Linked DNA regions of Drosophila melanogaster. The gene in region 1 interacts genetically with each later gene. Each region holds a gene or a part of one and is shown on either strand. Other genes may lie near its edges.

Region 1 (12,276 bases):
GCCAAAGGAGTGCAACCTGTACCTCCATACAATGGATAACTTGTCTGCTCTTGGTGACACTACGTCTAAATAGGAGATGGGCTTCATCAAGTCTAACTCCAAAGTAAAACCATAACACCTTCTTCATCCGCAGTTGGATGAAGAACTAGCAGAGGAGGATCGTCGCATCTTCGCGATGACCGTGGATGAGGAGGAGGAGTTTCTCACCGAGGAGGTGGATCAGGATGACGAGCTGTCGGAGGAGGAGCACCAGCTGGCACAGTCGGGCGACCAGCAGGAGGAACACATCACTATGGAGAGCGTGCATGAGTTTCAGCCCGCCGAAGTGGAGTATGTGACCATTAAGAATGAGTTCGAAACGATCGTCACGGAGGAGGATGAGTTCGAGGTGATGAACGACTCCGGCGCCCACGACGCCATACTGGACTGTCAGATGATTGTGATACCCGCCGAGGGAGCCATTGACGAGGTCATCGGCGAGGAGACCCTCGAATTGGAGGGGGATGGGCGCGAGGAGCATCTGGTGAGAAAGGTCAAATTATATTGCACTAGAATACCATTTATCCTCCATTCACCTACACACAGCTGCCGGAGGCGGAGGATGTCTGCGAAGATGAGGACTTCCTGGAGGAGTCGCTGGACTCAGCGCCGCCGACCGCTGGCGAGGCGCTGCCGTACGTGTGCACCGTGTGCCAGAAGGCGTTCCGCCAGCAGTGCCGTCTCAACCAGCACATGCGCTCCCACGTGGACGAGAAGCAATACGAGTGCGAGGAGTGTGGCAAGCGTCTGAAGCACCTACGCAACTACAAGGAACACATGCTGACACACACAAATGTCAAGCCGCACCAGTGCAGCATATGCGGCCGCTTCTATCGTACCACCTCCAGTCTGGCAGTGCACAAGAGAACTCATGCGGAGAAGAAACCCTACAACTGCGATCAGTGCGGCCGCGGATATGCGGCGTTCGATCATCTGCGGCGCCACAAGCTCACGCACACGGGCGAGCGACCATACGCCTGCGATCTGTGCGACAAGGCCTACTACGATTCGTCCTCGCTGCGCCAGCACAAGATAAGCCACACCGGCAAGAAGGCTTTCACCTGCGAGATCTGCGGCGTGGGACTGTCTCAGAAGTCGGGCTACAAGAAGCACATGATGGTCCACAGTGGCGTCAAGGCGCACAAGTGTGATGTTTGCGGGCATGCCTTCACCTTTACCAGCAACCTCAATGCCCATGTTCGCCTCCATTCCGGCGAAAAGCCGTTTAAGTGCGAGGTCTGCGTTAAGGCCTTTCCCACAAAGAAGCGACTGGCCAGTCATATGCGCGTCCACAACAAGGAGTCGCCGGTGACGGCCACCGTTGCTGTTCAGTCCATCAATCCTCCCAGCCGACAAGCGGGCGCAGAAGGTGCGACAGGCGGAGGTGCGACAGGTGGAAGTCCGACCGGTGGAGGTGCGACCGGTGGATCGGCAACCAACCTTCACATAACCGAAGTTCATGAGCAGCCGGTGTCCACCTCCAAAGTGGTGATGGTGCTGTGAGCGGCCACCAAGCCGTGGGAGCGGCTCTAGAATGTAAGCCTAGGCTAAGGATTAGACACTTAGTTCAATAAAACTGATTTTTGTTCCAGAAAAAACTGAAAGAAAATTCGACACTTATTTTTTACATACATAAAAATAATTTTGTTTTCACGATAACTATCTCAGCAGGTTTAGCCACTCTTATCCATCAATTGTGATTAGATAACGCACAGCAAGTTCTCCACTTTCGTAACGAAACACATGGATGTCTTGTTTTTGGTTTTACGGTTAAGTCGTCTCTTTATAATAATAATATTACGATTAAATTGCCAAAAAACAAAAACAAGCAAGTTTAGTTATTCAATAAAACAAAAACATGCGCCTCGTCTTTTCCCAAAGGAGCAAAAGACAGAGCGTGCCTCCCAATCCTGCTGTCTGCTGTCTGCTACTGCTTCCCACTAACTACTCCAAAAGTCGACGAAAAATATGGCCAGTGTGCTGCTGCAGGGCGTGTTTGTTGCTCCGGCGCAGGCGGAAGGTTAAGGTATGCGTATGGAACGGGTTGTGCGGTATGGCCAGCCTCCTAGCGGCCGAGAATGTTGCGCGACCACTGTTTGACCATTGGCTTGGTCTTGGACTGCTCGATGCGTTCCGCCTCCAGCATTTGTTCGGCCAGCTTGCGCTGGTTCTCCCGGAACTGGTTGATGGGATCGTCGAACTGGCGATAGTAGTGGAGCACCTCGCGCACGTCGTCCACGTTGTTCTGCGCAATTACTGTAGCGAATTGCAAGGGTCAGTGTTTAGCTTTCAATGTCACTTGTGGCGCAACTTACTCTTTAGGAAAGCGATAAGGTCCAGCAGTTGGCCATCATCGTCGTTGCCATGCCAGCGGGCCAAGCCGAATGTGTTGTCCGGATGCATCTTGGTGGCATTCGCATCCCAGTCCACAACAATCACCTAAAATACTCCCTTCTTTATAGATGATTGCAATAGAAAATACGTTGTGCATGACTTGCCTTCTTGAGGTCGCGATTAAGGTTGTCCAGGTTCTTCACATGATGGCCGTCCACAAAGTGCGTGGCATCCCTGACCAGGCGGTACATAATGTAGCCGTTGGGATCGAGGGCATCCAGGATGGGGAACACGGTCATGCCCTGTTCGGCGGTGAAGACGACAATTTCAAAGTCCTTGGCGCACTCGGCCAGAAAGTGGTCGACGCCGGGACGCTTCTTGAAGCGCCAGCCAGTTTGGTAAGTCCAGTCCGGATGCACCAGCACGTCCTTCATCTCCAGCACAAGCGTGTAGCGCGGCTGCACGTACGGCGGCTTGAGCGGATCGGGCAGCAGTTTGGCGCGCGACGGCTCCTGGATCATGCGCTGATAGTAGTGAATGCTCTTCCACATCCGCTGCAGATACTGCTGTACCAGCGGCTTGTGTGTGAACTCGTCCTCGATGGGCTGCCCGTTGGGGTCCACCTCGGGCTTGCCGAACTCGTAGACGGCCCAGAATCCAGCAGCCACGGCGCTGCCTCCGAATATTGCAAAGCTGCAGCAGGAAGTATTGTTATAATACTGTTACGCATTGAATGGGCGTCAGCTTACCCCAGCTTCATGCGCTTCCAGGCACGCTCGTTCTCCTTTTCCTCCTCCTCCTCGCGCTTCTTGCGCTCCTGCTCGGCGTTGCTGTCCACCTCCGGCGAGGTCTGAGGAAAGAGCTTGGCCAGCAGCGGGGCATTCGGTGCGACCTCGGGCGCATCATTGGGGCCAGTGGCTCCAGCTTCCTGCTCTGCGAAACGAAAGTGGCCAAGGATGAATGTTTAGGACTCTACTGTTTAGGACTCTACCGTGAATCACTTACTGGTTGTGCTGCTGTAGCCACGCGCTGTGTGCAGGATCGAGAAGAGCGCCGGAGCAGCCGCTGGCAGTGCTGTGCAAGTGAATAGTCGGAGGTACTGCTGCTGGTGGTGGAGGAGGTGGTGCTGGTGCTGGTAGTGTTGGTGGTAGTGGTGGTAGTGATTACCCAATGCGCGGTGCTGGTGGATGTGGGTAAGAAGACGCGGCGTGCTAAGGCCGCGCAGCAACTGGAGGACGGTGGCCGGTGCCATGCTCATGCTCATGCTTCCCCCTTCCTTCCCGATATCGAGTCCTAGAGCCGTTCACGAGTCCTGCTCGGATGGCAGCGACTTTTTACTTATAAAAAATTCCAACAAAAATTTCAACTTCCCACCGGCACGGCGTTGGCGTTAGGGATTTTATATACTGTCCACTGCCAGGCGGCACCAGGCGTTAGTACATTTAGCACGTGGCTCTCAGCAGGTATAGATCGGCGATTTTCAAGCCAAATCTGGCGGGATTTTGCAGATAACTGCGTGTGTACATATGTTGCCTCCGGCAATCTGACTAATCACAGTATTAAGAAAATTTTAAATTAAAATATTTTAAATAATATGGAAATACACAACCTTTGACCAACCACCAAGCCACTGTGCCTCTGGTCACTTCCAAGCTGATGTGCCTGGCTAGCTATTTTGAGTGCCACCACTAACGCATCAGCTGGACTTTGGCATCACTGTTCGGGACGCTAAATTAAGTTATTTATTTAAACGTGTATTATCTACTGTCGAGTTCAATCCATGACGACCATGTCGCCGCCGTCCCCCATGGACGCCTTGTGCCGCGTGTGCCACACAGCATCGCCGCGCTGCCTGCCGCTCTTCAAACCGCTCGACGATCCAATTTCCGGCAAACCAGCGACGCTGGCCAGCATTTTAAGCTACTGCAGCGGTCTGGAGATCCTAGAGGCGGAGCTCTTCCTGCCCCACCACATCTGCCCGGACTGCGTGGCCAAGTTGCGGCTCTCGCTGGAATTCAAGCGGAGTGTCCATCGCATGGACAGAATTCTGCGGCAGAGTCATGCGGACTTTTGCCGCAGCAAAAAGATCAGCGCGGTGAATACTAGGGCCAGGCTGTCAACCGAGATTCCGGAGGATTTTGTACTCGTGCTCGATGACCAGGAAGTGACTGAATATCCAGCAGAAACGATACGAGATGAGGAGCAACTCCTGGTCGTAGAATCAGATGAGGCGGAGAGCCGGCTGGAAGCGCCAATTGTACAGGAGGAGAGGCTGGATATTGCACTGGAACAGCACGAAGACGATCTCTGCGAGATTGTCGACGATCCGGATCCGGAGCAACGTAGGAGCAGGTTAGAAAGATCCGAGCCAGCGCTGCAATGTCCCGTGAGTTGCCTTTCCGAATTAGAAGTAAGTAATCACGAAATAGTTTCCCATCTTCGGCAGATTTGCGGCAAACAACTGGCTAGGAAGCGGACCTTTCAGTACCACATGAGGCTACATGGCCAGCCAAAAATTCGCCAAGAAGACAACGACCACTGCATTGAAGAGTGCCTCCAAGTGGAGCCCGTTTTGCAGGCCAAAGCTGGCGAAGATGTCTACGAGATTGTGGAGAAATCAGCACAGACTTCGGCGACGCAGAAAACTTTGCCCAGTGGAAGCCGGCCTTGGAAACCCCTCAATCCCTCCCTACAGTGTAAAGTAAGTTGGTCATCGCAGCTCGCAAATAACTCAAAGCCGAAGGTCATCAATTCTCCCTCCATTCCTTTAGATCTGTGGCAAGCAACTAAGCACCAACAACTCCTTCAAGTACCATATGCAGCTACATGGCACGGCCACGCCCTACGTTTGCACAATCTGCGGAGAGTCCTTTAAGACGCGAAACGCCCGCGACGGCCATGTCACGCTGCACGATCGTAACAATCCGAACAGGTGCCCCACCTGCTTCAAGGTCTACCGGCAGGCGTCCTCGCTGCGCACACACCTTCTAATCCACAGCGGAATCAAGCCATTCGAGTGCAGCATCTGCGGCAAGAGGCTAACACAGAAGTCGGGCTACAAGAAGCACATGCTCACCCACACGGGCGAGAAGCCGCACGGCTGCGACATTTGCGGCCGTCGCTTCCGCTACTCGAGCAATCTGATTGCCCACAAGCGCTGCCACAGCCAGGAGAAGCCCCACCCGTGCCCGGTGTGCCAGAAGCGCAGCTTCGGCAGCACATCCGAGCTCAACCGCCACATGCTCGTCCACAGCAGCGAGCGACCGTTCGGCTGTGAGCAGTGCGGCAAGTCCTTCAAGCGCCGCATCTCACTCGCCATCCATCGCCAGTCGCACAAGGCGGGCAGACAGCGGAGGCGGGCCGAGCATGAAGTGGGTGTCCAACTGGAGGAGCAGGACGAGAATGTGGAGACCTGAAGCTAGATCGCTTATACTATCGGCTTAATGTACAAATCGGGACATTTAGTTTTAGTTCAATTCGCTTTTATTTTCGGTACTTTCCTTCGCACAATAACAAGTTTTAAGTGTGTTCCTATTGTTAGGATAAATTTGATTGGTTTTCCCACCCAAAATAATGCGTGTTTCATACATACATATATATTATATATGGTCAACAAACATTTCGAGTCTTCTGACGATCCTTTCGATTTGATTTAATGTAATGAGCTTTAGTTTATCAGGTGGAGGCGGGAGAATCTCTATACATATGGAAGTTTCGATTGGGTTTTGTAGTTGATAGTGGCTAAGGGTGAGGGTGCGGGTGCGGGTGTGGGGACCTTAAGCTAAGCTACTATGCTGCATTGAACTTACGCGCTAGAAACCAATTAGAGTAGTGCGGAACGAGTGTGCGAGCGGGTAACAAACAAAATGGGGCTGGGAATTAAAAGTGTGGATTGGGAGCTACGCGTTACGCTGCCGCGCGATACATAAAGTTAATGTATAAATAAATATATATGTTCAGACAATGTGAGTGCTTGCTAATACTTGGCATACATAAAATGAGTATAGATCACAAAAAGTCGCGTAAAAACATAAATGTTAGTGGGTATAACGTGGGTGGGTGGGATGAGTGAGTAATGAGTAATATCAGTGGGACATGAGGCTTGGAGGCACACGTGGCTTTCCTTTCCATCGTCCAGCTTGGACGACTCTCATCTCAAGATCCGGACTTGGGTACACAAACGAAGAGGACACGACCGGATTGCCGCAGTGGCCACTGCTAATCTTTCTCCTGCTGCTGCAGCAGGGCGGCGATTTCCTGGAACTTGTGCCGAAAGTCCACGCTGCTCTCGCTGATCACCGACATGCTTGACGACGGATCCTGTGGATTAGGTTAGAGGTCGGTCCACAATGAATGTCGCAAGTGGGGAGTGTGGCATGCGTTCTGGCTTACCAGTATATCCCTGGTGGCATCAATCTCATCCAAATGCCCCAGCAGCGACGTCAACGAGAAGTCATTGATATTGTCCTCCAGCCAGCGTGCGTTGGATGTTGAATCTCTGAGCAAGTGCATCGGACTCATGCTGCCTTGGAAGAAGCTTTGAGCTGCCGCGAAGAAGATAATATAAAATTTATACAAAAATGAAAAGCGAAAACATGCTGATGCTCCTACTTGTGCTCCCGTCTTGGGCCGCCTCGTTCAGGGAACTGCTGACGTCCGTCCTGTTGGTGGCCACGCAAATGTCCAGATTGGGCATGTCTCGAGCGCTGACCTGCGTGGCCTCGTCGTTGAGGAACTCCAATGCCCCCTGATCCCCTGGCTCTTGATCCTGTGAAGCGGTCGTGGCATTCATGCTGGAATCGGGTTTCGAGCCAGAGGTGCTGATGCCAGCGGAACTTATGCCATCCACGCGATCAATCGGCTCGAAAAGGCCACTGTGGAGTTGGCGCACACTCAGCAGATCGTACGGACGATCGCCAGCGGATGTGGGTGGTAGGAGACGGCGCTGCACAAGCACCTGACGACTGATCTTTTGCCGTGTGAGCTAGAATGCACGCAATGAATGCAAATCAATTGGGATTTGGGTAACGCCAATAAGGAAAGACCACTTACCGCTGAGAGTTGGCGCACAGGATCGATGTTGGATATCGGCCGCCGCACTGGCAGCATCGGCGTTCGGAAATTGCCCTCAACCATGCCGCCCACTCCGCCGGTGGCCGTCGCCTCTGCCAGCTGCTGCGCCTTGGTCATCAGGTCCCGCTTGCGATCGCACGTGTGGCCGCAGTTGCATTGGCGCTTGCGCACGCGCTCGCTGAGATTGGCCACGAGTAGCAGGTGCTTCAGCTTGTTGCTCACCGACGATGTGGTGACGGCCCTGACGCGTTCCACGCTATCACAGTCGTTGGGATTGTAGGGCAGCGAAGTGCTCGAGGTGCTCGAATTGCTCGATGCGCTGACGTAGCAGTTGGAAGATGCGCCTGTTTGGTTGGCGTTCGAGGCGGCGCTGCCGGTTTGGGTGGCCACCGACGAGGAGCTAGGCGTTACCGTGTTGATTGTTAGTATGCTGGATGCCATGGCCGTCGAACTGTCGACCTCACACCAATAATACTCCAGCTCCAGCTTGGAATCCTGGCCAAAAACGACATACAGATCACCGATGGTTATATCCGCCGCATTCGCCTGCGTCCAGCCCTTGCGGATTCTCTTCAGTATATCGTCGCTGAGCAGTGGCTTAAAATTTCGAGCCTGTGCCGCGGCCGCCGCCTCCTTAGCTTCTTTGCGTTTGGAGCGGGCTACGGATGGAGCCGCCAAAGAACCGGTTACAGGAGTCGAAGGAGCGGGAGCTGCAGCACAGGAAGTTTGTAGAACAGATGTCGCCATGGCATTAGATAGATCCGCGTTGGCCGGATAAGCCTGTTGTACAGGATCGTGCGATGTTTCAAGCGCAACAGCAACAGTTGTGGTATCACCAGTGGTGGCCGAAAGAGCTGGAATAGTGGCTGCTTGCGGATGCTGCATGGCCTCCAATATATCGCCCAGAAACTCATGAATCTCCTCGCCCAGCTCATCACCGCTGCTATTCTCCATCTTCATCAGATTGCCCTCCAAGGGCCCGTCGTCCAAACTCTTCTCCAGCGGCGGGCTGGCACTCGATTTGGGTTTCTTTGTCTCCGGCGAACGCTTCTCGGAGCCGCTTTCCGTTCGTAGTCGCTTGTTGGCCGCCACCGACATGCCGGCCAAATTGCCCAAGGTCTCGCTGCGCACTTTGAAGCCCATGCGCTCCTCGTATGCCGTCAAGCAAATACTGATGCTGCTTAGGTAGGCGGTGATGCTGAGCAAAGGTCGGTGGATGGCCACTCCCGGCCGGGGCTGGAAGCACATTGAGGGATCCAGCGATGCAACTGACGGCTGTAATGGTTCCGTTTCATTGTTGTTGTTATTGTTGTTGGACGCAGCAGATGGCAGGCTGCTGGAAAAGTATGCACTCTTCTCCTCGTGCAAACGCTGATTGGCGCTGCGCCATTTGTACTCGAACGTCTTGATGAAGCTGATTAGTTTCTTGTGCAGCGGAACTATGATCCTGCCGCGTGGATTCTGCGCCAGTGACTGGACGCGTCCGAAGGCCTCCATATTGGCGGGAGTCACCAGCACCTCCACCTTGCTGGGCAGCCGGATATCCTCCAGTGAGTCTACGGTTTGTCATTGGGTATTATTGGGCAAACATATCGAATGGAAGCGGACTCACCATCCAATTGATTTAGCCGCCGGAGCGCCTTGCACGATGGCGTCTTAATGCGAATGTTCTTGCCCTTGCAACGCACGGTTATTTGGCCCTGGTAGACCAGCTGCTTCAGCTTCATGAAGTGCTTCTCCGTGAGGAACTGCAGCTTGCGCCGCATCTCGCCGTAGTTGATCAGCGTGTACAACTCCTGGGCGGGCTTTTTCAGTTCTAAAACGATTGATTAAAGTTACAAAATTGTCCAGCAATTGCGAAATGAAATGAAGGCCAATGGCAAAATGGCAACGCTAGTTGAATTCTAGGAATTAACCGAGGCACGAGGTTTTTGGCGCCGAAAATCTATTTTTCCGGGAAACCGAAACAAGCTAACTGTGACCTTATTAACGCATTATTTTGCCAATAGCTTGTTAATTTAACATTTCGGGACATGTCATATCCAGTTTGACCCTTCTTCTTACCCTCCGAGAAGCGCACATATTTGCAAATCTTGTGATGGGTCTGGTAATAGTGCTGGCGAACTTGGTCCTTGGTTTTGAAACTATAGTCGCTGTTGGCATTGCGGCGCTTCAGCTTGGCATTGATGCAGTTGGCCACCGCCTCGAAGTCCTTGCCGAATTCGTTGAGGGCGTCGAAGAAGCAGTTGCGCTCCACATTCGTCCAGGTGGTCTTCCCGCTGCCCGTCTTCAGCTGGCTGGGCGTCTTTTGGGCGGCCTTCTCCTCCTTTTTGTTCGGCTCCCGTTCGCTGGGCGGCGGTGTCATCGGGCGCGTCTGGTCCTGCTTCATCTTCTGTATGACCCGGGCACTGGCCCGCGTTCCCGGACAATTGTGCATGGTCACCGAGCCGAGGAGCTCCTCCTCGGGCAGCTTAGCTATCGAGTTAACAACTACTGCTCCTCCTCCCTTGCCATTTGGCAGCGGCTCCTCAATGGACACGGATGACGACGGCGGCGGCGGCTGCGTCAGCGGGGGTGGCGGCGGCTGCTTGGACAGTTCCTCCATGTTGGCCAATCCACATCCGCTTGCCTCCTAGACAGGATCAATCAATGGCAATATCAATTAAACTGCGTAGTCTTCCGGGAAAAGTGGGAAAATGGCGCCGAACCGTCCGATTGCTTGGTATTGTCGCTGAACCGCGCGCCCGGGCTAATCCACTACCGACCAGAAATGATCTCGAAGGCTTTCCCAAGCTCCGACGTGCACTCACCTACAAATCAGACATGGAAAATCGGTGCCAAACGACTATATAAAAAACTTATTAACGAGACGCCAGGGATGTTGATGTTGGCCAACAGTGTGGTATCAACAGTGCAGTGTGTGCTGTTAGGCGCGAAGTGGTTGCTGTTAAGTTGTTTTGTTTACCCGCAGCGATGCCCGCTCGGTTGTTTTACAGCCGCCAATGGCTAGTTCTAGCCGCAGCTTTCGTTTCCTGGCTGCTTTCCAGCTAAATGCGTACCCTTTGAACTAACCGTTATCTTATTTACATATTAAATTTAATAAAAATATACAAAATCCACACGAAACAAACAAACTAATGATTTAAAGGGACTCAGAATAGAGCACGCTCTCAATAGCATAAGCTTTTATTGATTTCCTTTACCTGTTGATTAATTGCAAAAATTCTTCTTGAGGTTTTAAAGTTTATTTTCTTACGTATAAATTTTAAAAATAGGCCAAAAAAATAAAGTTTCTCGCGTGCATCACAAATAAATACCAACAAGGAGTAATACTAGCAACACGGCTGCGAGTATCACGATGAGCATTATCTTTTTCTGCAAATACAAGGGAAAATGCCTTTTAGAACCCAACGCTCTCGGGGATTCGCAGTGTGCCCACCTTGCGCGCCTTCTTCTGGTGCTGCTCCGCCTGGTCCAGCTCGTCGGCGCCCTTGTCCACGTGGAGCGTGGCCTGCTGGGCGTGAAACTCCACCCGCTGGATCACCTCGCTCTGCTCCATTACCAGGGTCTGGATGCGCATGAACAGGGCGTGCACCTCCTCGATGGACTTCTCCAGGCGGCGCAGCTCGTTGAATCGATCCATCATTTCGCGCAGTGTCTGCCGCTCCTTTTCCGTTTCCTGCAGAAACTAAAAATACAAAAATTGTTATTATAAAGATTAAGCAAATGTCTACATTTATTTACTATTTGCAATACAAATACCTTTTGATCTTTACATTTTGTGTTAAATTGAAGGTTAATTAACAGAGAATGTTAGAAAGGGCGGGTGAAGATCTTATTTTATTGATTTACCGTTGGTCCTTGATCGTTTTCTCTTCAAGTCTTCCTCTTCCCTTTTTCTCAGCCACATCCAAATACGCACGTGATTTTTAATTGTGCGTCGCGAAATGAGGTTTGTTGTATTTAACATGGTTTAGATGTAAATGTAAGTATCGGCATTGTGATACGAAGCATTTGCGCGCTTTTTCTTTCTAAGTTCGCGGTAATTTGGCGTTTTCAATGGCGCGCGAAATATGTTTGTGTGTATAGAATGTGCGCGCTAAAATCCGCATTTACATATGTATGTATGAACATACACAATGTGTGTGTTGCGCTAAATAAGCTTCCACTTTTTTTTTATGGTGAACCACTGAGTTTCTATTATATATATAAATATGTATAGCTTAGCTATACGGCTAATGTAATTAATCTATGTACGTGATAATCTGTATTGCAGAACATAATGCTTTATTTAACATCCTCATTAACTAATAGATGATGTTAAAACAACAGCGGCAAACAGAGAGAGTGCATATGAGTTTGATTTACCGTTGGCCCTTGATCATTCCCTGTTTAAATCTTCCTCATTCCTTCTTCTTCCCGAGCATCGACATACGCACGTGTTTTTTAACTGCGCGCCGCGAAATAAAGTTTATTGAATTCAACGATCTTTAGATGGTGAAAAGTGTTACTTGAGTAAATGCGAGTATGCGCATTGTGATGCGAAGCATTTGCGCGTTTTTCTTCCTAAATTCGCTGTAATTTTGCGTTTTCAATGGCGCGCGAAATATGTTTGTATGTATAGAATGTGTGTGCTAACATCTATTTACACATGTATGTAATGTAATGTGTGTGTTGCGGTAAATTAGCTTCCACTTCTTTTTTTATATTTTTTGATGGTGAACCACTGAGTTTGAAAATATATTCTATTCAATATAAAAATGTATAGCCTAACCACTCAACCAATATAATTAATCAACGTATGTGATAATCTGTATTGCAGAACATAAT
Region 2 (15,213 bases), on another chromosome or scaffold:
CCCATATGGACATGAGCGCACAGCGAGTCCTTGGCGTGATCGAAAATTCCGGATATCAGCTCCTCGGTGTTCACATCAGAGCGTTCGTAGTCGAACACAGCCACCACCTCGTTGAATAGCTTGCGAAGCTCCTCGTTGCTGATGTGGATGAAGTACTTCTTCGGCACAAACGTCTGCAGATGCTCCGTTATGCACTCGGCTATGCGATCCGTGTACCGACCCTAAAATATAACCTTTGGTAAGATTGAGTAAACTAATTGCTTTTAGATCTAATCACCTGGAAACTGTAGGCGGCCTGGCACAAATAAAGCGAGGAGCGCTGGGCAAACTTGCGCACATTCTCCGGAGTGGTGCTCTTCCCAAAGAAGCGATTGAAACTCTTCTGGACAATGGTCTGTACGCGATCCATGATAAACTCATCGGGCATGGGTGGCAGCATGTAGGCGTCGACATTGAGGATGGCCGGGCACACCATCGCATCGTCGTTGGGCATTATTTCACTGGTCACCACCTGGGGCTGTGCATTGGGATCCACCTCGAACTCGTAATTGATTTGCAGCGGCTTGGACTTCAGCCTGAGAGCGCAGATCTCCCGCTCCAGGCACTGTTGAATACATAATGCTTTAAGGATCTGAAATCAGTTTTGGAGAATTACCCACTTCAATCTGGTCCAGCAAGGATTTTTCAATGCCCCTCAGCTTCTCAATGTCGTAGGATAGATTTAGTGCATTCGGATTGGCCCACTTGGCATAGTTTTTGTTCTGAATGTCCAACAGAGTGCGAAGGATGTTGTTCTCTTCCCGGAGCACGGTCATTATGTTAACCTTCTCGGTGTTGTTCTGGGTCTCCAGGACCAGTTCCTCCTCGCAGCGAGCGAGTTCTTTCTGATGCACAATAGTTGGATATTAAAGAAATTGTTATACTTATGAAAGCAAATGTACCTGTTTCTCCAGGAGCTCTTTTTCGAGGGCCATAAGCTCATCCTCGGCATTGGTTTCCAGATCGAAGATGTAGCGCCTTAGGACCTCCTCCTCCAACTCATCCAGGTTGACAATAATGCCGAACTTCTTCATCATGGCCTGGCGAATCTCCTCCTCGAGCCGCGTTATCTCGAATCGCATGAACTTTATGTCCGTGTTCATGCGCCGCAAGTGGATGAAGTTTATGCGGTGCCAGCGCTTGGTGGCCAGTGTCTCCTCGCTTAGTTGATCCGCCCGGCGCCGCAGGTCCACTAGCATATCGGCGTCGAAGAGTATGGCTTTGGACAGGTCGCGGTAGTCGTCGCCATCGTAGAAATGCTGCAGTTGGTCCATACGCAGAATGGCGCTGATGTGAACCTTGTTCACTTCCTGCTGGCGGTTACGCTGCAAGAAAGGGAACTTCATCATGGTGACCAATCTCTAATAGAACTACTCACCCGGAACTGCAGCAGGGCATTCTTCTCGCGCTGGTACACCTCCTCGTGGAACTTCATCTTGATCTGCATTTCGGCGATTTCCTTGCGTTTGTTCTCCACTTCCCGCGTCAGTTCCCGCACATTTCGCTCTAGGTCGTGTCGGTCGGAGCGCATGGAGAAGGCCAAGTCGTATAGCGATCGATCCAGGCCGGTGGGACATGTGGCTTCGTCCAGCCTGATGGTGGTCATGTCCAGTGAGTCCAAACTCTTGTTGTCGGCCTGCTCGTCCTCGCTGGAGGAAGACGATGAGGAGGAGGAAGAGGAACTCTCGTCATCCCCCCTAGAGACCTTCGGTGGACGCCACTTCTTCTTGAAGATCCGTCGCAGGAAATCGAAGAACTTGTGACCCTTAACGGTGGTCGCGAATAGTACTTGGAGGGCAACGATCTGCTCGCCCAGCTTGTCGATGTTCCGCCTCAGCTCATCCAACTGCCTGTTGGTGCTATTGATAACCATCTGTAGGTCGTTCCGCGTACTCATTGCAGTCTTGGCGTTTAGTAGCAACTGTGTCTCTATCTCCTCGCTGTCGCGCAGGATGTAGAGCTCCTGATTTAGGCTGTTCATGAATGCGGTCATGAACTCGGCGTCCATTTTGACATGGAAGCGTCGTACCTGTAGCTTCTCCAGTGCCTTGTCAAACTGTCGCACCTCCTCGTCCACTTCTGTCCGTATGGCATTCTGCTCCACAAGCAGCTGGCGAAGCCATCGATGACGCGTCTCCATCATATAGGGCACCTGGCCATCATCATTCAACTCGAAGTAGGCCGGATCACTTTTGGGCGGCAGCTTTAGCAGCTCCTCGTCCAGCTCCGCATTGGGAAGACTTCTGTTCAGCTTTGAGATCTGTAGCATCGTGAATGCGGTGTGCTCGTGCAGCTCGGGTACATCCAAGCCGTGCAAACTGAAAAGGCTTACGTTGGCGGTGGATCTCATTGGAGCCATCCTGGCTATCACCTTGTTACATAGAAGATGTACGCATGCATGCTTAATTAAAAGTAGTAACATTCAGTTCACCCACCTGGTCTACACTGTGCTCCAGCGTTAGGATGTCGTCGATCTCCACTCCACAGCCGGGCGTATAGTGCTCGATGAGATTAAGTTCTGGGTACTCCAGGTCCATGTCAATTTCCTGAATCGGATCCAAGGGCTGACGGTCCGGCTCGGGCAGATAATTATGAATGACTGCCAAGCGGTTTCTCTTGGCGGTGATAAACTGGTCCAGCTCACCCTTGCGTTCACGCAGATCCAGCACCATCTGATTGAAGGCGTCCACCATCGCAAAGTACTGTTCACGACACTCCACCACCTCTATGTACTTCTGGGTCAAGGTTTCCGATGACTTGGGCTCGTAGTCCGAACCGATTTTCAGCTTGAAGTCACCCAGGTTGCGCTTGGCATCCTCGATCTGGGCATCGTCGTCGGGATGGTTACGATTGGGGTCCGGCTTCTGGCGCTCCAGCTTGTCCCAGTCGAAGATGCGGCGCACCTCGAAGATCTGGCGTTTTCGATAGCGGGTGAGGAGTCGCATCATCTTCTTGCTGAAACGCGGCTCAATGCTTTTCGGATCCCGGCCAAAGAAGAACGACTCCGGCGGGGGTTCCCCAATGGATTCGTCCGATCTCTCGGGCGCCACATAGTCATGCAGTCTGTAATCATTGGGTATTAGGTATTTAACTAGTGCCATTAAAGTTTAATCTATGATTTGTAATATGCATTGATGGTGTAATCAATAATTATGGTGGACAGGTGATCAAACTAGGAACTAAGTAGCTTGGATGGCTTACACTTCCGGTTGCTCTAGTACTCGATCCTCCGTGTAAAGGCTGCTTGTGTTGAATGTAAGAGTAAGATTTGTATGTATTGTATATATTTCTCGTGTTGGCAGTGTGAAGAGGTGGAGCCTGATTTTCGCCACTTACCCCATATCATGCTCCCGCTTCAGGCGGTCCTCTATATCCTGCTTGATCTGAGCATGCTCCTCGCCCAGAGCCTGCAGGCGAAATGTGGACACACCCGGCACGTTGGCACTAAAATCACAATGTTAAATCTGTTGGAATGATAGGAATCCTTTTACTTACCGCAAAGGAGCGACTGTGAAGGGGACTTGGACGAGTTCCTTGAGAAAGTGATTGTAGAGCTTCGTGTGTCCCACTTGGGCAAATTCCAAATCGTAGGCCAGATCCTCTCGAACGTCATCCAACTCTGCCTGCAGCTCATTTCGAATTTGCCGGGTGATACGATCGTCCAGCAGCAAGTCGGTATCCTTGGCCCTCAGACCCGGAGGTAGCTCCTCGTTGATCCTGATAATGTCAAAGTAGACGTTCTGGAGCGCTCCGATCTTACTGAGCACATCACGGTCATGTGCATCGGCTGCTTCCTGTTGCCGCCGCAGCTCCGCGTTGATTTTCTCCTGTTCAAGGGAGCAAGCCTCCGGCTCTATGTCCGGAATCTGGGTAACTCCCTCCGGCAGGGGCGGCAGTTTATCCCTCACCTTGTTCCTAACGATCTTCGGACCGTTCCACTTGTGCAGGAACACGTTGCCATCGTAGCCAATGGTGAGTAAGTGCTCACCACTGTAGCTAATGTCGATCTTGGGAATGGTGCCTTTCAGGCCGTCGTGCATGGGATAGATGCGGAACTCGGAGAGGTCGGTGAAATTGTCCGGATTGATGCGATTGATTCGAATACGTCCATTGTGAAGACCAAAGATGATGAATTCATCGCTGGAAAAGAGATAGTAAATGGATATACCAGGATATGCCACATCTCTAGCGCTTAAACTCACATTATGCAATACGAATGAATCTCGATGTCATCCGCCTCCGCTATGATGGTGGCTCGAGTGGGCTCCGCCGCATTGAACTCCAGCTCATAGATATAACCAGCATCGTAGCCCGCCATTGACACCCAAATTGTGTCTCTTAGGGTGTAACGCAGCCAGATTATGGCGTTGGGCACGGTCGGGATGTGAAGCGGCTCCTCCTCCTCATCCGGTTCCGAGTCCGCCAGCGCTGACTCTATGTCAATTTGCAGGCCGGGATTGGCCTTCTTCAGTTTCTCCACCTCGTTCATTTTACGCTCTCGCTTCCGTTCCTTGCGCTTCTTCACGTTCTCCCGATGGATGTCCCGCCGGATGCGGCTCTTAATGGAAGCGAACTTCGTGTGGCGCATGCGCGAGTTTTCTGTTATGTTATAGGACAGGTAGGTCTCGTGATCGGTGACCTCTGTGCGGATGTTGTACTCGTACAGGTCACCACTCTTGCAACCAACCAGAACGACGGTGGGTTCCGTTTCGTGCCAGTAGAAGCAGTTCGGAATAGCTGCAAACTGCACAAATCCCAGCGGACGCATGTCCACCATCTGATGCTCATCCCGGCTCAATTGGTAAATGAATATGCTCTTGTCGGCGCTGCCGGTCAGGAGTAATGAGCTGTTCCGGCTTACAGTGAGTGCAGTAATCGGCGATGTGTGCGCCTTGAAGGCTCTTACGCGAGTCATCTTGGGCCTTTCCCCGTTGCTCAGGTCGAGATACATTTGCCGCAGAATACCATCCTTGAAGGCAGCCACCAGCTCGGTTCCCTTCACAGAGATATTCGTATCCAGCCAGATCACATCGACTCCCTCCGCCGGGAACTCTTTCTCCAGGATCAGACGCTGTTCATCGTATTGGTAAACGAACAGCTTTCCGCTCTCCGACATGCAGAGGAAATGGGGCGATACTGGAGACATCTGGGCTGCCAGTACCTTTCCGCCAATGCAGGAGTAGAGCTTTCTCGGTTTTTGAGGAACGTCGTAGGTGTTAATGTCGCAGAACCATATGCCACCGTTACCATCCTGGGCGTAGTGGGTGAAATCGGACTCATCAAAGGGATGTATCTTCTGCATGCAACGAAGCTCCACGTCGGCTATCTTGAACTCGTAGATCGGATCGATCTCTACAAACAAATCGTCCTCTGGCGGATCGGCCAAGTCGACCGTTTCCCAGTACCAAACGCGCACATAACCGTCCATGCCCACCGTCGTCACCTCACCGTTCTTCATGGTTATCCTCGTAATCGGTTTGGTGTGGCACGGTTTTCGACCCTTCCGGCAGATCTCGAACTTTATGAGCCCCGCCTGCCAGAGCAGCATGTTGCCCCAATCGCTGCCAGAGATCACATTCTCATCCTGCAGCATGTACATGGCATAGATATCGCTGAAGTCCGTCTTGCCAAAGCGACCCAGATCTCCTTTCAGCTTCAGGCCGGTAAAGGTGTTGGCCATCTTCCAGAACTTGATGTGGCTAAGCCCGGAAGAGCAGAGCAGGATGGGATTGTGCTCCGAAAAGTGCACGAACAGAATGTCGCTCTGAAAGGACTTGGCACGCAGGACAACCTCAGCGTTCTCCCAACGCCAGATAGTTATGATGAAATCCGGATAGCCAGCCTGCGAGGCGAACAATTCCCCCGTCTTGTTGTAGGAGCCCGCCGTAAAACAATTCTGAGCTGCATTCAGTAGCTTAACACGGACATTAAGCGATGGATACTCGTAGATAAAGACAGTGGGACGAGCTCCGTTCTCGCCCACCGTAAAGAGGTTGGTGTAGTCAGGATGCTCGTTTTTCTGGCAATGGAGTACCATTAGATCATACAAAGGTACTCAAAGGTACTAAAAAGCTCACCGTTATAAAGCCCACTCCGCAGCCGTAGACCGTTTCCTGAAAGGAAATCTCCTGGCGCGAAATGCTAAAGTAGTTGAGGAAGTTTCCAGAGGCAAAAACCAGCGTGTCTGAATCCACAAGGACCAAATTAAACAGCTTCTTACAATCGTAACCAAAGGAGTGTCTGCAGCAGAAGTTTTCCAATCAAGAAAAAGTTATCAACTTCCAATTCCGTACTCACTCTACACTGACGATATCACGCGGAAAGGATACGTCGTTCTCATTCTCCAACTCCTCCTCTTCGCCCAGCAGATCAGATTCCTGCGTAGTATCCATATTATTTAGCTATTATTGTACAAAACTTAACTTGCTGTGTATTTATTTATTTGATACAAGTGAAAAGGTTTACTTGAGTGTTTGTTTGCCTGTTGCCAGGTCACATGAAACCGGCTATCTGAAAAGAGTTCTGCAAACGTGGAGCATGCGCAGAAGTGCGTTCAACAAGTTTCATTCAATGCTATAACATTCTCAAATACAATTTATTACGATTAACTCAATAAACATTCTAGGATTAAATTCCATTACACAATCTAAATATCTAATTCCAAAAAAGCCTCATCATCATCATCGTTAAAGAACGCCGCGATATCCGACTCAGCCTTGTTTACTTTGGTCATTTCTGTATTATTATTTTGCTCAGGCGGCTCTTTAGCTGGAATAGTTGAAAAATATTGTTTTATGCTATTCCTTTCCGGTTCAAGGGAGGTGGACGTGGAGGGCGAGAAGTACTCCTCGATCTTGTGGGACTAAAAAAAAAGTTGAGTTAGCGAAAAATACATTTTTCAAAGTATTCAAAATGTATCTTACTGAAGTGGGTGCTGCTGTGTGTGTTGCTTTCTGAAGATTTTCGGCAAAGATGCCCACTTTACTAAGCACCTCTTGCTTATTTTTCAGCATGTTCCAGATTATATCGTCTGCCGTATTGTGAGCAATCAGATAGCGACAAATCACCGGTTTTGTCTGACCAATGCGATGGGCACGGCTCTCCGCCTGGGCAAGAGTCTGCACATAAAATAAAACTAAATTTAAGCGTTCTCCAAGTTAACATATAAGCGAAGCTTACGCTAGGATTCCAGTCCAGTTCAGCGAACACTATGATCTCAGCTGCAGTTAGCGTTATTCCTGAATTGCAGGCTTTTAGGGAGAGCAGGGCCACCTTACAACTGCTCTTCTTTTGGAACGTGTCCACAGAATCCGACCTGTGATCGCTACGCGTTTGTCCATCAATACGTATGTAGTGTACTTTCAATCCACTGAGGAAGTCGCTAATGGCGTCCATCATGACACGATGGTGGGCAAAGATAATGAACTTTTTCTGCTCCTTAACTAAGGTTTTTAGGTAGGCGCTATAATGCAGGATAATACATTAACTTCAGATGGTTTATATGGTTTTAATGATTTTTTTTATTACCAGACCGCTCGAGTTTTCACTTCGGCAGTGCGTGCATAGAAACGGAGTAAGATCTCTTCCGTTGCCCTGCCTTTAGCGGTTTTAAGCTCTTTGTTAAACGCATCCAAGGTTTCCTTGGTCTCCGCATTGGTCCACACTAGGGCGGGATCCAGGACGACAGTCTCACTGCGGATGGAAGAATGTTCGAAATGTTAGAAAATATATTATAGATATACAACAATGTGAACAACCCACCGGTTCTTCTCAGCGAGTTGAGGCAGCACCTCCACTTTCGTTCGCCTCAGCATATATTTAAGGTGAAGTATGACCTTCAGTTCCTCCAAATTCGATTGACCATTGGCATCCCAACCAAAAGTTGACTGCTTTCCATCACAATAACGAGTAGCTGTGAATGTGTTAATCGATATAAGCGCGTTCTAAGGTAAACAGACATTCTTGACATACTGAACTCCATGAAATTCATGAATTTGCCATCAATCATTTGCAGTTGCGTAAAAAGTTCCAATGGCCGGGAGAGAGCCGGTGTGCCGGATAGCAAAACCACCCGCTTCGCCTGATCCGTGAGTCTTTTGGCCGTTGTCGTGCACTTGGCCTTGCTGTTCTTCAGCGTGTGCGACTCGTCGAAGATGATGAAACCAAACTTCCGCTGCATCAGCTTATCTTCGTGTCGCTCCATCATATTGTAGCTGGTGATTAGCACCTTGGCCTCACCCACATATAGCTGATTGTTGTTCAGCACCTGGACATAGTGGATGGGCACCTTCGGCAGTAGATCCATTATGTGTTTCGCCCAACTGTCTCTCGTAGAAGCGGTGGTGCAGACAAGCAAGGGCCAATCATCCTTGAAATAGTCGGCTACGGCCAAGGCCTGATAGGTTTTGCCCAGGCCCATTTCATCACAGATCATAATGCGTCCCTTTTGGGCTATGGCAAAGCTAAACATATGATAAATTTAGCGCTTTTGGAAGTACATAGCATACAAGCAATGCTTACCATACCCCATCCTGTTGGAAGGGCATTAGCTGGTCCGCCAGCTTCGGTTCTATGGAAGCTAAAACACTTCTTTCCGGAACTACTGGCGGCTGGCCGCAGAGATCCAGCACCTTCTTCGGAATGCCATTCATGTGAACATATGGCTTTAGATCCGCTGCATGAGTTTTCAGGGATTGGTAGTCCGACAGATCGAAACTCCAGATACGGGTTTGGCCATCGTAGCACTTGGTGGGCATGTTCTTGAACACGGTCACGAGCTGTTCGTGATATCCTGAGGTTTGGGCAGCAAACCGATGTGTGCTGATCAAGTAGAGATTACACGTGATGGAGTTTCCGAGTAGCACAGCCACCGGTTTCTCCTTATCCGAACTCAGTGAAAGAGTGGGCTTGTTTCTTTCGTTCCCTCCATTTGGCCGCTGGTAAGGATGTGCTGCTCCGCGGGACAATTCCCGGTTGGATGTCTGTTTGATTGCTTTCAGAGCGTTCAGAAAGGATGAGCTCTTGTTGTCACCGGGCGTGGGACCGCTCCTGTTGATCTTCTTCTGCTCCCCCGTCGGTGATCGGTAGAAATTCAATGGGGATTTGGCCTGCGGTTGATTGGGATTTGATTTTCCATTATTCGCATGTTGCGTCGCACCTGTTGCAGACGTTGTTGATTTTCCATTGGTTGCGGGTGCGCTGGCCAGCAGCTGGGATTTCTTGGCCTGCAATTTGGCCAGCGCAATGCGCTTCTTCTCCGCTATCTCGGATGAACTGCAAGTGGACATGCTGCGACATCAATTGATAAAATTTGGCGGAATATATAAACAATAAATGCATGGCTCTGTGTGACCAGGTGAGCCATTTTTCAATCCTTACATCTTACATTGGGCGCCTATTTTAAATTATTTTTACATTTTACATACTCTATGTATACATTATTATGTATATATTATGTATAAATTATTTAGTCCTTAAATTAAATTAAAATCATTTCTGTTTTCTTATATTGCCTACGTCGGTTGTAAGCGAAGATAATCAGCTTAGAATTTTTCCTAAAAGCGAGTTATTATTTTTTTTGCCTATCAAGATGTTCTTAGACGTGCTATCAATTAATTTCCATTGGTATCAGAGGGCGAATTTCTTAGAGATAGGATAACGCCGAGTGGGGGCTACTCCAGACAGCGATAAGGGGCGCAATAAAAACGGATGGAAGTCTGGCGCAGACCACGATTGATCCAATCACCATGAAAGTGTTCGTTGTACTGGCTCTGGCTTTGGCCGCTGTCTCCGCCGAGACTGTCCAGCAGGTTCATCCCAAGGACCTGCCCAAGGACACCAAGATCAATGGCCGCATTGTGAACGGATATCCAGCCTACGAGGGCAAGGCTCCCTACACCGTGGGTCTGGGCTTCAGCGGCAACGGCGGCTGGTGGTGCGGTGGTTCTATCATCGCCCACGATTGGGTCCTGACTGCTGCTCACTGCACCAACGGCGCCTCCCAGGTGACCATCTACTACGGAGCCACCTGGCGCACCAACGCCCAGTTCACCCACACCGTCGGCAGCGGCGACTTCATCCAGAACCACAACTGGCCCAACCAGAACGGCAACGACATCGCCTTGATCCGCACCCCCCACGTGGACTTCTGGCACATGGTTAACAAGGTGGAGCTGCCCAGCTTCAACGATCGCTACAACATGTACGACAACTATTGGGCCGTCGCCTGCGGTTGGGGACTGACCACCGCCGGATCCCAGCCCGATTGGATGGAGTGCGTCGACCTGCAGATCATTAGCAACTCGGAATGCTCCCGCACCTACGGCACCCAGCCCGATGGCATCCTCTGTGTGTCCACCTCCGGCGGAAAGTCCACCTGCTCCGGTGACTCCGGTGGCCCCCTGGTTCTCCACGACGGTGGCCGCCTGGTGGGTGTCACCTCCTGGGTTTCCGGCAACGGTTGCACCGCTGGCCTGCCCTCCGGATTCACCCGTGTTACCAACCAGCTGGACTGGATCCGCGACAACTCCGGCGTTGCTTACTACTAAGCTTGATTATCTTTATTTTTAAATAAACGAAATGCATAACAATTAATTTGACGCCTTTATGTTTCTGGTTTTATTACATTTAAAAAATCACATGGATATTTTTAAGTTTCAAAAGTCTAGTCATGCAGAATCCGAATCTATAATAAACGTCTTATAGATAAGAAGCCATGAATGGCTAAGAAATGGGATGGTTTCTTGGCAATCGAACACTTGTTATCTGGAAAACATGATTAAACACTATATATGTAGCCATGATAGACATAAGTAGGAATACTAGCAACTGTGGTCTATACTAGTCAATAATCAGATAATGAAATAATATATATATTTACCAAAAGATTATATATTCCAAAGGATTATTATACTGACAAATCACAAAAGCGAAGTGATATATTTATTAAATATATGAAATATATTTCTAAAAAATAATACAACTTTCGTCTTTAAAATATTTCACTTTTTACTTGTAAATGTTTAGTTTATTGTTTTAAATTTTAATTTTAATAACTTTAATGGGAGTGCGTTTAATATTAAAACCTAAACAATGTAGCGCACTTACGAACGTTAAGTACAGTATAATTCGCTTAGCTGCCTCGAGTACTTTGCACAATGCCTCGATGCAGGTAACTTAAAAATGCAGCTAACTTAATTTTTTTTTTTCTATTTTCTATTTTCTATTCACACAAAAAAATGGAAAAATAATGCAGATATCTTGCCGATGCAGCTAACTATCGATGCAGCTAAGCGAATTATACTGTAATACTACTTTTGAATGACCACAGGACGTGTGCCCTAATCTCTGTGCGCTCCTGTTCGAGTGTTCCATTGAGTTGTGGCTCTGGGCATGAATGGGGGCTTATTGGCACCTATCTTAAGATCAGCTCCGAGTGGCCGCACGTCCATGTTGATAGGGTCGGACAATCTTCTAATGAATGAGTGGCAGTGGGCAATCGTCAGATTGAGTGGTGGCAAGTCATGAGCCGGAAAGTGTCCAAATCGGATGGGTAGATCATTGGAGTACCCTGTAATGATAGTGCCGCATTTTGGAGGCGTGCGAAATTAATTTGATAAGATTAGTCCGACCGGAGTGTTTAGAACTTTCGAGTGGCGAATGGTGAAGATCTCTAGCGATATGAATACGTCGGATTTGGGGGGTATATAAATCACTGCCCGTCGGCGGAGTATCCACTTGCACTCAAGTAATCAACATGAAGCTGTTCCTAACTGTCCTGGCCGTGGCCATTGCCTGCGCCGCCGCCCAGCCTGAGAAGGTGAAGCCGGTGCCCCTAAAGGACGCCGTCCTGGGATCCGGATCCGGCTCGATCGAGGGTCGCATTACCAACGGCTATCCCGCCTACGAGGGCAAGGTGCCCTACATCGTGGGTCTGGGCTTCAGCAGCGACAGCGGTGGCTGGTGGTGCGGTGGCTCGATCATCGGTCACACCTGGGTGATCACGGCTGCCCACTGCACCCACGGAGCTCACTCCGTCACCATCTACTACGGTGCTCTGTGGCGCCTCCAGGCTCAGTACACCCACACCGTGGGCAGCGGCCACTTCCGCCAGCACTCGGACTACAACACCAACAACCTGAACAACGACATCTCGCTGATCAACACCCCGCACGTGGACTTCTGGCACCTGATCAACAAGGTGGAGCTGCCCGATGGCAACGAGCGCCACGACAGCTTTGCCGGCTGGTGGGCTCTAGCCTCCGGATGGGGCAGGCCTTGCGATAGCTGTGGCGTCTCCGACTACCTGAACTGCGTGGACTCCCAGATCATCACCCGCGACGAGTGCTCCAGCGTCTATGGAACCGATGTGATCACCGACAACGTCATCTGCACCTCCACCCCCGGCGGCAAGTCCACCTGCGCCGGCGACTCTGGCGGCCCACTGGTCCTCCACGACCGCTCCAAGCTGGTCGGTGTCACCTCCTTTGTGGCCGCCAGCGGCTGCACCTCGGGCCTGCCCGATGGCTTCACCCGCGTCACCAGCTACCTGGACTGGATCCGCGACCACACTGGCATCTCCTACTAATTTCGTTCTCGAAATAAACCCTTCTGCATTTAATAGATAATTGTTTTTTAATTCGATAGTTTAAATTTAAGGAATGGGGAAACTAAAATGGATTATCTTAAGGATCAAGATACTTGATTTTGTATGGTTTAGATTGATTTTCGATATCTTCATAGAATGTTTTCATAGAATACGAATGATATGGTTTCCAATTTATTATTATTTATGATTAAATGTTAAGCCTCATATTTAAATTAAATCAGAAAGATAAGTAGTGTTATAAGTTATAAAGAATTGCGTATTTCATTTGTTGTTAGTGCCAGTCTAGTTTATTTCTCTTACTATCTCAGTTTTCTATCAATTGATTTGGAGGGATTTGTTTATTTTTCAGACCTACCTTCGATAAGATTAAAGGGTTTACGCATGTGGCTAAAATCTCCATTTTGTTTAACTTGTTTATAATAAATAAAATTTTCCTTCATTTAAATAATGATAATTTATATTTCAGTTTTTCTTAGAATATTAAATACAGATGTATATTTTGTTTCTGTTTTATTTTGGATATATTTTTGTAAGTATTAAAACGATTGGATAGTTTAGAAACTTTAAGCAAAAGCTATATATAATAGCAAGCAAATAATAATTTACAGATTTGTACTAGATTTAATCTTATCTTCAATGACAGCTAACTTTTTTAGTAATTTTGACAATTTTGCTGTAAAGAAGTTCAATCAGCATTTTTATGAAAATAACACACAAGTTTTTAACATTTTTCCAACACCTATTTTATTATCACTTTCAAACATTTGTTTACACTTGAACAATAATTGTAAACTATTTTATTTTTAAGCACTTGTAATTCTTGTTATCAAAAACCTGTGAGTATATAGGGTTATCATACACTTGTGCATCAAGTTTTGGTTTGTTGTTGTTCTTATTAATTGTCTATTAAATTAATAATAGTCGAGAATCCTTCAGCCTAACTTGGCAACAGTTAGTAATAGATTTGAAAACAAGCGGAAAACCTCCAGCCATTATTACAGATTATCCTTATCAGGACAAAAAGCAGACATACATTTTATGTAAAAGTTAACAAACAACTTTATTGAAAATCATTCCTGTCCAAAGATCATTGTAAATTTTAAGTTCTGAAAAATGATGATAAGATAGAATGGTCTGCGCAAAGGTTGACAAATATATATTTTATAATTATGAATAAAACTACAAACATATTTGATTAGCCACAAAATATTATTCCATTTAGATAGATAATAATTTGGCTGTTTATTGCTGCATACTTAATATATGGTAAATAATAAAATAATATAATATATATAAATATATATAGTCTAGTGGGGGGGGTCTAGTCCCCCCTAGAGTTTCTTTGATTTCTACTACTGGCTTGGTAGAGTGGTTCCTCCATTCTTATCGATGACATCGTTTATGGGAGTCTTGAGGATTATTTACGAGCCCTTTTCGAGTTGCAGATATGGTTTTAGCTGAAAATGTGTATAAAAGGCTGCCATCCGAGAGTAGAATCCAGTATAAACATCAGCATGAAGGTGTTCCTAGCTATCCTGGCTCTGGCCGTGGCTTCGGCCTCCGCCTTCGACGAGAAGGTCTTCGTAAAGGACCTGCCCAAGGCCACCAAGATTGAGGGTCGTATCACCAACGGATACGCCGCCCCCGAGGGTAAGGCTCCCTACACTGTGGGTCTTGGCTTCAGCGGAGGCTGGTGGTGCGGTGGCTCCATCATCGCCCACGACTGGGTCCTGACTGCCGAGCACTGCATCGGAGATGCCGCTTCCGTGATCGTTTACTTCGGTGCCACCTGGCGCACCAACGCCCAGTTCACCCACACCGTTGGCAACGGCAACTTCATCAAGCATTCCAACGCTGATATCGCCCTGATCCGCATCCCCCACGTCGACTTCTGGCACATGGTGAACAAGGTGGAGCTCCCCAGCTACAACGACCGTTACAACAACTACAACGAATGGTGGGCCGTCGCTTGCGGATGGGGTGGCACCTACGACGGCAGCCCACTGCCCGACTGGCTGCAGTGCGTCGATCTCCAGATCGTCCACAACGAAGAGTGCGGCTGGACCTACGGCAGCGTTGGCGACAACGTCATCTGCACCCGCACCGTCGACGGCAAGTCCATTTGCGGAGGTGACTCTGGCGGTCCCCTTGTCACACACGACGGCTCCAAGCTGGTGGGAGTTAGCAACTTCGTCTCCTCCAACGGCTGCCAGTCGGGTGCTCCTGCTGGATTCCAGCGCGTCACCTACCACTTGGACTGGATCCGTGACCACACTGGCATCTCTTACTAATTTTTCTAAATAAATCGATCATTTTAAAAGCAATACGTTTCGAGAGTATATAAATCGGGGTCACCAACAAAATGTATGTGTTCTACACTTGTTTTACGCAGTGTAAAACAAATTTTACTCGTGTGTAGAAACCACGGCGTAAGATTACACAAATAATTTTTGTAGCAGTTTTGTGTGAATGCCAAAGCAACAGCTGATTGCTATCAAGTAAACAATTAATTACGTTTTTGCCGTGCACCAAAGGATTGAGTTGGGAGTGCTTTGTTGGTGCGTAGA

The links.
Region 2: of crm (region 1) and Marcal1, changing one enhances a phenotype caused by changing the other (phenotypic enhancement), as found in Drosophila melanogaster (one study listed by BioGRID).

The regions. Positions count from the first base shown.
Region 1 is NC_004354.4:2,728,412-2,740,687, forward strand, and holds crm (cramped), read right to left. Parts: upstream 10,363-12,276; 5' UTR 10,257-10,362; intron 10,128-10,256; exon of another isoform or gene 10,079-10,127; 5' UTR 10,052-10,078; coding exon 9,511-10,051; intron 9,263-9,510; coding exon 9,059-9,262; intron 9,003-9,058; coding exon 7,426-9,002; intron 7,358-7,425; coding exon 6,985-7,357; intron 6,918-6,984; coding exon 6,766-6,917; intron 6,694-6,765; coding exon 6,592-6,693; 3' UTR 5,837-6,591; downstream 1-5,836. Other genes in the region: dwg (deformed wings), read left to right, coding at 134-523, 586-1,542; ttm50 (tiny tim 50), read right to left, coding at 2,105-2,295, 2,355-2,478, 2,538-3,066, 3,123-3,306, 3,379-3,637; CG2712 (uncharacterized protein), read left to right, coding at 4,154-4,759, 4,820-5,074, 5,145-5,789; Syx4 (syntaxin 4), read right to left, coding at 10,750-10,821, 10,886-11,134. UniProt on the Drosophila melanogaster protein: Polycomb group (Pc-G) genes are needed to maintain expression patterns of the homeotic selector genes of the Antennapedia (Antp-C) and Bithorax (Bx-C) complexes, and hence for the maintenance of segmental determination.
Region 2 is NT_033779.5:4,949,696-4,964,908, reverse strand, and holds Marcal1 (Marcal1), read right to left. Parts: upstream 9,401-15,213; 5' UTR 9,327-9,400; coding exon 8,560-9,326; intron 8,502-8,559; coding exon 8,011-8,501; intron 7,952-8,010; coding exon 7,801-7,951; intron 7,732-7,800; coding exon 7,567-7,731; intron 7,502-7,566; coding exon 7,219-7,501; intron 7,158-7,218; coding exon 6,963-7,157; intron 6,902-6,962; coding exon 6,686-6,901; 3' UTR 6,617-6,685; downstream 1-6,616. Other genes in the region: CG34124 (uncharacterized protein), read right to left, coding at 1-221, 278-604, 660-884, 942-1,364, 1,418-2,410, 2,475-3,102, 3,376-3,483, 3,535-4,179 and 3 more; Jon25Bi (jonah 25Bi), read left to right, coding at 9,786-10,586; Jon25Bii (jonah 25Bii), read left to right, coding at 11,795-12,625; Jon25Biii (jonah 25Biii), read left to right, coding at 14,161-14,937. UniProt on the Drosophila melanogaster protein: ATP-dependent annealing helicase that catalyzes the rewinding of the stably unwound DNA.